Drosophila melanogaster: one gene and its partners. The protein of the gene in region 1 purifies or fractionates together with the protein of each later gene. This does not show direct contact. Each region holds a gene or a part of one and is shown in the gene's direction. Other genes may lie near its edges. The genes, in order: Arl5, scat and Vps51.

What was found.
Region 2: the proteins of Arl5 (region 1) and scat purify together in Drosophila melanogaster (affinity purification with mass spectrometry, with the first as the bait; one study listed by BioGRID). This does not show direct contact.
Region 3: the proteins of Arl5 (region 1) and Vps51 purify together in Drosophila melanogaster (affinity purification with mass spectrometry, with the first as the bait; one study listed by BioGRID). This does not show direct contact.

Annotation. Positions count from the first base shown.
Region 1 is NT_037436.4:8,298,155-8,301,910, reverse strand, and holds Arl5 (ADP-ribosylation factor-like 5), read left to right. Parts: upstream 1-2,071; 5' UTR 2,072-2,620; coding exon 2,621-3,160; 3' UTR 3,161-3,410; downstream 3,411-3,756. Other genes in the region: CG13671 (uncharacterized protein), read right to left, coding at 1-1,795; Rab19, read right to left, coding at 3,687-3,756.
Region 2 is NT_033779.5:9,429,695-9,433,450, forward strand, and holds the start of scat (scattered), read left to right. Parts: upstream 1-1,710; 5' UTR 1,711-2,019; coding exon 2,020-2,207; intron 2,208-2,586; coding exon 2,587-3,756. Other genes in the region: FucTB (alpha1,3-fucosyltransferase B), read right to left, coding at 329-735, 1,003-1,236. UniProt on the Drosophila melanogaster protein: May be involved in retrograde transport from early and late endosomes to late Golgi. Required during spermatogenesis for sperm individualization.
Region 3 is NT_033778.4:18,709,213-18,712,968, reverse strand, and holds the start of Vps51 (vacuolar protein sorting 51), read left to right. Parts: upstream 1-2,103; 5' UTR 2,104-2,193; coding exon 2,194-2,274; intron 2,275-2,350; coding exon 2,351-3,102; intron 3,103-3,162; coding exon 3,163-3,756. UniProt on the Drosophila melanogaster protein: May act as a component of the GARP complex that is involved in retrograde transport from early and late endosomes to the trans-Golgi network (TGN).

The DNA of each region.
Region 1 (3,756 bases):
CCTGGGGGAAGACAATTAGAGACGGCGTGGTTGGCATGGCCAACTCCCAGGGCAGATCATTAGCCTGGCTATCGAAGCGTACAAAGTGCACCTCGGGGCTGCCGAGCAGCGCCGAAACCTGCAGAAATGCTTGGGATAGAACGGCTGACAGAGCGCAGTCAGGACGATGCATAAATACCACATTGGTGACATTTGGTCGCTGGATTGCCTGCAACAGCATCTGTCTATTGTATTTTCTACTGAACCCAGATTCCATCATGGCAAGAGCATTTTTGTGAGTCCTTGGCAATGTTCTGGCGTAAAACTGCCGTATAAAATCTTTAAGAGCTACGTAGGAGAATGTGTGTTGCTGTGGCATAACATACAGTGACTCTTCAGCCGCATCCAAGATGAAAACCTGCACCTGCTGATGGGTTTGCTGAATGCCAAGCTGGTGTAGATAGTCTCTATATTTCACAGAATCGAAGATCACCACGCCCAGCGACCGATTGTGGGCTGCGCGCTCCGTCGAGTGCTGCCAAATGAGCTGGCCATATTTGGTTACCATTTTGGCAATGCCGATTTTTATGGCCGGCGTTCCATGCTGTGAGTGTGCCAGGCAAAGGTTTCTGGAGTGAAGCCGCAGCAAGTGGGGGACGTTTCGATAACTCGGATGGTTCTGGTGCGAGTACTGCCTCCATAGGTGGTTTAGATACCTATTAATCCGATAATAGTTCTTAAGTGTGGTCTTGTTTTTACTCCAGGCCGGGTAACATGTCCGGGTTTGTTCACCATCCCCAAACAGCTCCTTGGGAACTTGATTTAGGGAGGAGGATATGTCTTCAGATTGTTTATCGAATTTTTTCCAGTAGTCTTCGCACCCCTCCGACTGCTTTTTTTGAGCGTAAGCCATCTCCTCGCCCATGACGCTAGCATGGTGATATTGGTTCATTCGAACTCCCATAGCCAGCACGGGGACATGTCGTGCCTTCATGGCGATGGTCATAGGAGTGCCATAGCCATTGGAGAACAGCGACATATTTTTGAGTGTGCTCCGTACCCAGCGCAGAATGTCGATGGTCTTCCATACTCCAGATGTACCATTAAACGTATGAACTCCATTTCGGCTGTCGATAACTACAAACTGGGGCAGCTTGGCCTCCGAGGACTTCAACATCTTCCTGGCACTGTTGCCAAAGTACACGGTGAAGCGGATATTCCTCTCCGGATCCAGTTCCAGCCAGCGCAGACCGGCAGCCAAGTAAAGATTGTAGGCCTTGTCGTCTGGCGAGTCAAGCAGACCCAAAACCACCGCATCCGAGTGCTTCCGAATGGCGGCGAGATCCTGACTACTGTGTGCCCGGTCCAGTGGCTGAAGCAGGTTATTCATGAACCGGGCGAGATCTTCAAAGCTCCACGAGCCCTGGTACTGGAGTAACTGCTTTTGGCCGTAGCGCACGATCAGCGTGGGCCATTTGTCAGGATAACCTCCTGCGCCGGCGACTCCTGGTGCCGGCATCAAAGTACGGCTGCAATTGCACTGCAAGTGCCAGCAATCGATGGCTCCAAAGAAGCCATACTCCTGGTAATAGTGGGCCAGTCCATTGTAGACCAGTCGTGCCTGCCGTGCTTCGCTGGCCCAGGACACGTAGTAAAATAGCAGCGAGATCTCTGACTCTGACGCTTCCGCACGGAGCTGGGGAACACTGCGTCCGGGACACTCGACAATGGGAGCCTGGTCGGATGTGGCTGACCTTGAGGCGTCCAACTGAGCGATAGAGAGAGCCAGGAGCAGCAGGCTCAAAATTATTTTCATTGCAACCGGTGGGAAGCTAATTAGATGTTAAGAACAACACAACAGCAACCGCCGTGAACAGATGTTTGCCGCGAGGATGGCCACACTGGTAACGTCGGTAGTGTTGTTAATAATAATAATTTATAAGTAATGACTAAATCTAAATTTTAAATTTGAAAATAATTCTTTAAATAGGTTCAATATTCAAAAATAACTTGTTTTGGAAATGCAAAAGAAACGTTGTTAAGCACTAAATGGTTACGGTCTCATTAAGCTTTACTTTCTTCCCCACACTGCCCGCAGTTATCGATAGCAGCACTATCGATTCCAAGTGATATTAATTAATCACTTCTGCTGTTTACTTTCTTAATTAAAACTCTGTTAATTAAATTATCAACAACGGCTGTTCTAAACCCACTGCGACGCGTAAACGAAGTAGCGTTTCCCGCTGCAACGAAACGAATGGAAACCACCCAAAGGCAAACCACCTGAAAATCGCTCACCAATCCCCCCAAAAAAATTCCCATTTGGCGAAAACAACAACAGTAATTAGGGTGTGAGAGTGTGGAGTGAATAGCTGAATAGTTAAATCAGTGAATAATTTACCGTACGGCCTTCGCCTTCCCCTGCGGAAACAACAACAAAGCTCAGCGTTCACTTACACCCACACACACGGGTCTACCACGCATACACACGCAGGCCAGCCGATAACCTGTGTGTGAGGCAATCGCCGTCATCGTTCGAAATCAAATCTCTAATCGGTGGAAGCAGCAACAACAATAACAGCAGCTGCAGCATAATCAACAATTGATTATATACGTATATAGCTAAAAATAAGGTTCAAATATGGGACTGTTATTATCGCGGCTCTGGCGGATGTTTGGCAACGAGGAGCACAAGCTGGTGATGGTGGGTCTGGACAACGCGGGCAAAACCACCATCCTGTACCAGTTCCTGATGAACGAAGTGGTCCACACAAGTCCCACGATCGGTTCCAACGTGGAGGAGGTCGTCTGGCGGAATATACACTTTCTTGTCTGGGATCTTGGTGGTCAGCAGAGTCTGCGCGCCGCTTGGAGCACCTACTACACGAACACAGAGCTGGTGATCATGGTCATCGACTCCACGGACCGGGAACGGTTAGCTGTTACGCGGGAAGAGCTCTACCGGATGCTGCAACATGAGGATCTGAGCAAGGCCAGTTTGCTGGTCTATGCCAATAAGCAGGATCTCAAGGGCTCTATGTCGGCGGCGGAAATCTCACGACAACTGGACCTCACCTCCATCAAGAAGCACCAATGGCACATCCAGGCCTGCTGTGCGCTCACCGGCGAAGGACTCTATCAAGGATTAGAGTGGATCGTGCAGCGCATCAAGAACAAATGACCCGCCACACATGCTACATATTAGCTAATTAATCATTAACGACTAGCTGTCTAGAGAAAGTAAACCAATTTTGATATAAACAATTTTTAAGCGTTTCCAAATTGTTTGAAAAGTTGTTGCCAAGCCAATTTTATTTAGTGTAAAATACGTCCGAACAGGAGTCCCTCGATGATTTAAATCTACGTGTATATGGATAATGTCTAGGAGCTAAGCCAATTTAACTACGATACTTCCAATAAAATTACAAAATAAACGAGTTTATTTCGACACTGTCGCATATCAAATTGAATACAAATTACAAATAGAGAAGTGGACGTATTTGCCTCTCTGAGCATTGCCTTGTAATTGACATTGTTGGCTCGATTCGCTGATGTGTGAGATTGTTTGTACTCTATCGTCAAAAATAAATACATGGTTGTGTAAAAGTTAGTGTCTAGGATTAGGTTAAAGCATTAGAATACTAATATATAGCCACAAGAACAATTTGATCACAAAAGTAAAAGCAAACTAAAGAGCGGATTTAGGTCTAGGTGAGATTGCATGAGCTGCTGCAACTCTTTAAAGGCTTTCCCTGGCCCAAGGTGATGGTGTTTTCT
Region 2 (3,756 bases), on another chromosome or scaffold:
TATCTTGGTCAGAATCATTTGAACTATTTTGAGACTCCATTATTGAATCGTCATCACAGAAAAGAGGTTCTTCTAGATCTTTATGATTTCCCTGACGACAGCAGCATTCTCTGGAAACGTTGCTCATTTGAGGCAGCGAGCCGTACAACTGCACCCAGCACTCTGAACAACAGACCTTGGGAAGCTCGTTGGCACTTGGTGATGTCATGATGGCAAAGGAATTTTAGAACGATAGTGTTTCACGTGATGTGTTTGTCACGCGTGTTTGTTATGAGTGTGTAAAATGTTTGGGATTATAAATAGGATACAAATGGAATAGCCTACTTGCCTCTCTGGCAGATCTCTATTCCGTAGGCAGCTGCCGTAGGAATCGATCGGAAGATGTTTCATCAGTTCCTTTACGTAGTCCTCCCTTCCAGACATCGTGTCGCAGTCGCTTTGGAGGAACACCACCGATGTGGATGGACGGTATCCGTACTTTGACTTGCCGTCAAACGTAACATAGTAATCCTTCGAAGTAAGCGCCTCGCCACTGGGCAAGTACATCGTAGTCAGCGGCAAGTTGCTGTAGCGGCTAAACGTGGATGTGAAATGGAAGTGGCGAAGGAACTCTTTATTGGACACAAAAGGGGTGTTCCTTGGTGATTCTTCATGCAGTAGGGCCCAGATTTGGTGCTCGTTCCGAGGCAGGGGAAAGTCTCCCGTCTTTATGTTTGAGCCGTAAAACAGGACGCCCTGTGAAAAATGTAAGAGACATTCCGTTATTATTATATCAAATTACAATGAATCTACAATTACATATCTTACTGAAGTAAGCGAATTTGTATCTGCAGTGCTATGCATTTCTCAGTCTAAGCTATGTGTTTACATATTTTTCAGAACTATGGTACAGTATCTCAAACAGTTGGAGCCCTATATTATTATTATTTTCAATCCAATTCTTATCATGTCTGCCGGATGTGAAACAAAAAGAAATCTAGACTTTTGGTTTTTGAAACGAACCCGGGCCCACGGACGGCGGCTCCGCTTGTTGGTGATGCGGCAAGTATGAATTCCGCACTGGCGCTGCACGTCGTAATTCCAGGACATATCCCTGGACCACCAGACCAGCTCCACAGGACTGTTGAACTTGATGTTTTCGTAGTTAATGATATTTTCCGACCAGAAGAACAATACGGTCGCCCCAACCATAAGCAGCGCAACCAGTGCAATTCCGTAACGTTGTGCCAGTCGCATGATTATCTTTGCAGTTCTTTGCTAGCTAGATAATCAAAATTATTCGCTGCACCACTTCGAAAAGATTCAAAAAGCCGGTGCGCCGCAATTTCGCTCGAGCGCCCCAATTTCGACTGTCAGTCGTCAGCTGATTTTGCTCAGATGTAGTGTTGGATAACGTTTGGTATTTTTGAGACACGATTTGCACGATACGATTGTATGCCAGGAAATGTATAAACATTTTTATTTAAAAAATAAAACAGTTCTGCCTGAATGTTTAATATAATTAAAACATATAATTATTATTCAACTTAAATTTTTAAAGCATAATTCTATTTATTTGATATTTTGTTTTTTAGATATTCAAATTACATTAATTATATTAACTAAACATATACTATATTTATTTTCTGTTAAAATTAATTACTTTCATATTTTAATTTCGAGCTGCTGGCATCGCGCGCTTGACCGTTTCCAGCCCTCGCCAGCTGCCATCCAGTCCGCCGCTGTTTTACAACACTGAACTTCGTCATAATATTGTTCCACTTACAATTGCTCAATTAAGCGACCGCAGAAGCAACAGAAACACCCATAAATCGGACGAAATGTGCCCATTCCAAGGCTAGAGAACGAACAGCCAATGAAAGTGGACTTATTGCGGAGCAACCAAAATGCAACATCTGGCAAGAGAGGCAGACGAGCGAAGGTAGAAAACAAACATTGACATAACACGTCAACGATTGGGAGCAGGTGAACCACCGGGGAAACCATACGGCGCGGCACTTTAAACGCAGAGCATGTGTTATGGCCACGACAAGATCCGCCGGAGGTGCCGCCACGTCCGTTGATACTGGACCGGCAGCAGGGAACTCGGGTATCAGAAAGCTATCGACGGCTAGCGTCGGTGGAATTGCCGGAGGAGTGGCGCCCAGCTGGCAGAGCTGCTACTACTGCACCCGGGAGCACTTTAAAAGCATCAGCGACTTCGTCAAGTGAGTGTCGTCCAAATCTTCCCATATAATAGAACTTTGAGCAGCCTTACGAGTCAATACCATTTTTATCTTAACTTTATATGCATGTATGAGTTAAAACGATAAATGCCAGGTAAATTGCACAGACAGGTAGAAATAATTAAAATTGTATAGCTGCAGTCGAACTCACAAACCTCGTTTAGAGGTGTTTTGTACGTAAGTTATATTTGGGATTGTCTAAAAGTGATTATACGGAAAACAATACAACTTCTATATATGTAATTTTAAAGATAATAGAATGTGTTGCAAATTCAATTGGAATTTAATAGAATATTGATTCATTAAAGTTACTCAGATCTTATAAAGCTGTTTTAATAAATGCTCTCATTACGCATTACAGTCACCTGCGAAATCGTCACTGTACCCGGGAGGGTGGCTCATTTGTGTGCCGCTATGGCTTCAATGGAGTATGTGCCTCGCTTCCACTGGACGGAGTCTCAGATCGCGATTACGACGCCCATGTCGCCAAGTACCATGTCAATCAGCACACGCGCGAAATGCCTCCCGAATGGGGAGTCTACTCGGCGGCCCAAAACCTGCCAGCGGTGCTCAACGATCCCTCGCGAGGAAAGCAGAGTAATCTGTTTACCAAAAAGTGGGGCGAGCATTTTGTGGAACGAAGTCATGTGCCCCCATCACCCCGATTGCCCGATATAACCCATGCGGATTTTACCGTGTATCTGGGCAGCATAGGGAAGCGATATCGTTGGCATGAGCGGCGGCAGCAACAACTGGAGCGTGATAAACCGCTGGAGAATGGAGCACAAGGAGCACCTGGACCGGGAACTGGTGGTCAGACACCAACACACTTGAGTTCTGTGCCCGAGATCTTTCTGAAATCACAACTGCAGCTTCATCATCCGGCAACCTTTAAGCAGGTATTTCCTAATTACATGCAAACATCGGCTTCCAGTCCGGAAAGTCATCAGCAAACTGGTCGTCAGCTGCAGGAACAGCTGAGTCACTACCTGGACATGGTGGAAGTTAAAATAGCGCAACAGGTATCGCAGAAATCGGCTGCGTTCTTTCACGCCATGACCACGCAGCACGCTATTCTGGCTGAGATGGAGCAGGCGGCCGACCAAGTACGTCAGTTGCGGGCAGCACTGGCCGAACTCCACAGCCACTCGGTTGTAGACAGCTTCAAAGTGCTGCGTTTCGCCCAAAGAAGACAGCACTATAACCTCACACTAGACAAACTCCGACTGATGGCCACCGTACACAAGACGCAACCGATGCTGCAGCTCCTACTGGGCACCCAGGACTATGTGGCAGCCTTGGATTTGATAGGCACCACGCAGGAAATACTTTCCGCCGAACTCCTTGGCATTCACTGCTTTAAGCATTTGCCTATGCAGCTTAGCGAAATGGAGAAGCTTATTGACAAAATGCTTACCACGGAATTCGAGCGCTATGCTGCCGCCGATCTAAATCGACCGTTAACGGATGCCCTCCGGGAAACCGACAGCGTTTGCGCCGAGGAGGATAAACTCGTAGCTATTGTGATGGG
Region 3 (3,756 bases), on another chromosome or scaffold:
ACGCCACACCCCACCTGCCACCCACGGCCCACTCCAATGCCGTACATATAATCCGTTTAAAATGAGCACTGGCTGTGTGCTCCAGTTTCCGCTGCTCCTGCTTTTGAGTGCACTGAAATTAATTTAACGACTTGGCGCACTTCAAACTGCACAAAACATATTAGTGGGCCGAACGTGGGTGGTGTGCACAGCTTTCTCTGTGCCGCACGCAGAAGTGAGAAGGGGAGCAGGAGTGGGGTGGGGGAGAAAGTGAGGTGTGGAAAACCTGGGACAATGGCAACTTGACCTTGACACGTTCGACGCTTTCCGCCGCCCTCACGTCCTTCAGCTTTTCACTTTTTTTTTTTGTTATATTTCGCTCGGCTTACGTAAATTCAATTTTCAGTTTGATGAAAGCAAAGTTCATGCCACACACAAGCGCGAGTGTGTGACACACTGTCCCACTGTCGGTCTTTTCTTTTTTTGTTTGTCTAACCTTTAAGAAGACCATTGCAATTAAAAGTTTTAGTTTTCAATCATAGAAATGATTTGGAATATGAATAATGGTTATTCATTACAAACATATAATAGCATAGTGTGTTGCGAATTAGGATCCTCATCAAACTCCTCATTGCTATACATTTTTCTCAGTGCACATGATACAAGTTTGGAGGCTGATGGCATTGGAGAGCGTGTGATTTGCACAATCTGCACACAACTCGAAATTAAATTCGGCCCCGGCAACAGCTCGAACTTTTTTGCGAAAGGTCAAAATGTTAATGTATTTGAAATGAGACGCCACAAAGGAACGAGAGCGAAAGGAGCCCAGGATAAAATATAGTGCGAATGGTGGGAAAATTACGGGGAATGCTGCAGGGCCAGCAGCCGAAAAGCGAGACTCAGATGCGAGATACAGCAGCACAGGGAACTTTAGGCCCTCGGAATGTGGCAAAAACTTGTCCATGTTCATTCAACTTGACACGGTCGCCAGCGGGCAGACGAACTCCCACCGAAATAAAAAAGGACGCACCAAGAAGTACAAACAACTGCTACATATTTATGCCACGACACTGAAAATACCCATTACAAAAAATGATTTAATGATGTTTAAAAGATATTAAAACTGTAACATAGGGCAATTCAGAATTCAGAAGAATATATCTTTCAATAAGCGTTACATAGTTAATCGCAGTTTCGAAATACCCAACGACAGGGTATAAGACCTTAACAAAAAAGATGTCTGGTAGTGTGGAGGCGGTGGGCGTGGAATGTTTAATGCGATTTGCCACACGTAACTCAGTCTGGGGAGACTGTTGAATTACTTAGGATACAGAAGCCCACATCGTGTTCTACTTTTGTGCTTTATTGAGCCAGGTGATATACAAAGTTATTTGCCATGATTTGGGTCCAAAATGCACAGCATTGTCACGGGGTCCGTTAAGCAATCTACAAAATGTTTAAGTAATTAGGTACATTAGTTAACTAACATTTTGTTGTTACTAACCAGCAGTCACAAATGAGCTGCACAGAGCTGCAATTAATGCGGAAACAAAGAGTAATAGCTTCATGTTGTGATTGCTTTAATAAAACCTTTTACATTAATGCCATTTATGAAAAACAAACAAGTATTTTCTTATCAGTTTGAAATGGGAGATTCCCAATAACAAAGCCGCGATTAGAATAAAAATGACAGAGAGCTTTGCAAACTAAGATAATCTCAGTTCACGTCTCTCACGATTTAATACCAATTCATCACACACCTATGTGCCTAAAAATAAAAACAAAAAGAAAAAACAATAAAAAAGATAATAAAATAATATATTTAATAAAGACACTAACTTTATAAATACTCAGAAAAATATTAAAAATTAAAATTCTTTCAATATAATGCCATAGCAGTACTATTCTGCATTAACATTTAACTGTCTAAATTATTATTCACTTAATAATATAATAATAATATAATAATATTTCTATTTAATTTAAAATAAAAAGTTGCTAAACGCGCACCGTTCAAAAAATGATTGTGTGGCGGTATTGGATATCGATAACAATATTGGTAGTCAGCTGTTAAATGAGGGAAACATTTTTCGTTGCCCAACACACCTTAACTTATCGATATACGAAAAAAACGATAAATCTTCAGCAACAACAAGTTCACAACATTTAGTTTATTTATTTATTTAGACTAGTGGTAAAAAAAAGTTCTACAAAATGGCTGAAACCAAAGCCAATCCCTTCGACATGGACAGCTCCAGCTTCGATGCGGAAAAGTATCTGGAAAGGTTGCTCAAGGTAAGAACAACAAAATAGTGAAGTAATAATCATTAACTTATGCACTTTTTGTTCTGGCTGTTACTCACAAATAAAGGATTGCTCCTTAAAGCAAATAATGGATACGGAGGCGGCGGTGGTCAAGGACACACAGACATTGCACTCTGATATGCAGACGCTGGTCTACGAGAATTACAACAAATTCATCTCCGCCACGGATACAATTCGCCGGATGAAAGATGACTTCAAGCAGATGGAAACGGATGTGAACCTACTGATGACCAAGATGCAATCCATAACGACTTTTAGTGAGCAAATAACCGGAACGCTGCAGGGCACCAGATCGCAACTATGTCGCCTGTCCGAGAAACACTCGCTCCTCAAAAGGCTGCAGTTTCTCTCAACTCTGCCAGCTAAACTGAAGTCCCTCATCGAGGAACAGAACTACGCACAAGCTGTCCAGGACTACCTGCATGCCCAGAAGGTGTTCGCCCAGTACGGTCGACAGCCGTCCTTCGATGGAATCCAGCGAGATTGCGACGCCATCATGGCAGATCTCAAGGAGCAATTGCGAAGTGACTTTCAAAGGGCTGGGAACACGGCCCAATCCTTGACGGAAATTGGAGAGCTACTCCTGCAGCTGGACGAAAAGACTTCGGATCTGGCAAGCGAAATGCTGACTTGCGCTGGCAAACGACTGCACGAGCAAATCGTCATGCTGCAGGATCAAACAGAGCGTGATATGCTGGAGTTTGTGGACATGGGCATCGATGGTTTCCTCAACGATCTGGCACTGGTAGTGACTTCCTACTTTGACATGTTTGTGGCCAAGCACTACGAGCATGAGCGGTAAATTGAACAATATTTTGTATAATCTTAATTGAGTTTTATTATCCATTCCATTTTCAGCGATGACTTTCAGGAGAACGCCCTGCAGGAGCTAAATGTCTTCCTCAATCAGAACATCGAAAAGTATCTGACACTCGTCCAGGATCGTGTTGAGTCCGACATTGGCTACGGCGATACCCAGGTAATGCTACGCGCTCTGGATCGACTTCATCGGCGCCTTCAGGCCATGCGAAATATCTGCCGCGGCTTGGAGGTCCAACGCAACACAGTATCTATCATTATTTCGGCTGCCCACCAACTATGCGATGCCCATGCCAAAAACCTCAAAGATCACTTTGCCGACAGTTTGAGTGCGGTTCGTCTGTCGCTGGTTTCTGCCAAGAGCGATGCAGCTGCTGGTCTCAATCTCGGTGATCTGATAAGCAACCTTTATGTGTCCATGGTGGAGAAAATAAAGGGTGTACTGCAGGACTTGCTTATATTCCTGCGCACCGACTGGTCGTTTAACATCAAGGCGGAACACAAGGGCGCCCTGTGCGTAGAGGGCATTCGGGAGAACCTACTCATTGGCTTCCTACGTCATATTGCCAAGGTGATGTGTGGTTTCGGAGATGCCTCCAGCTCCAGTCCACCCAATCTACTGCTGGTGCTGTC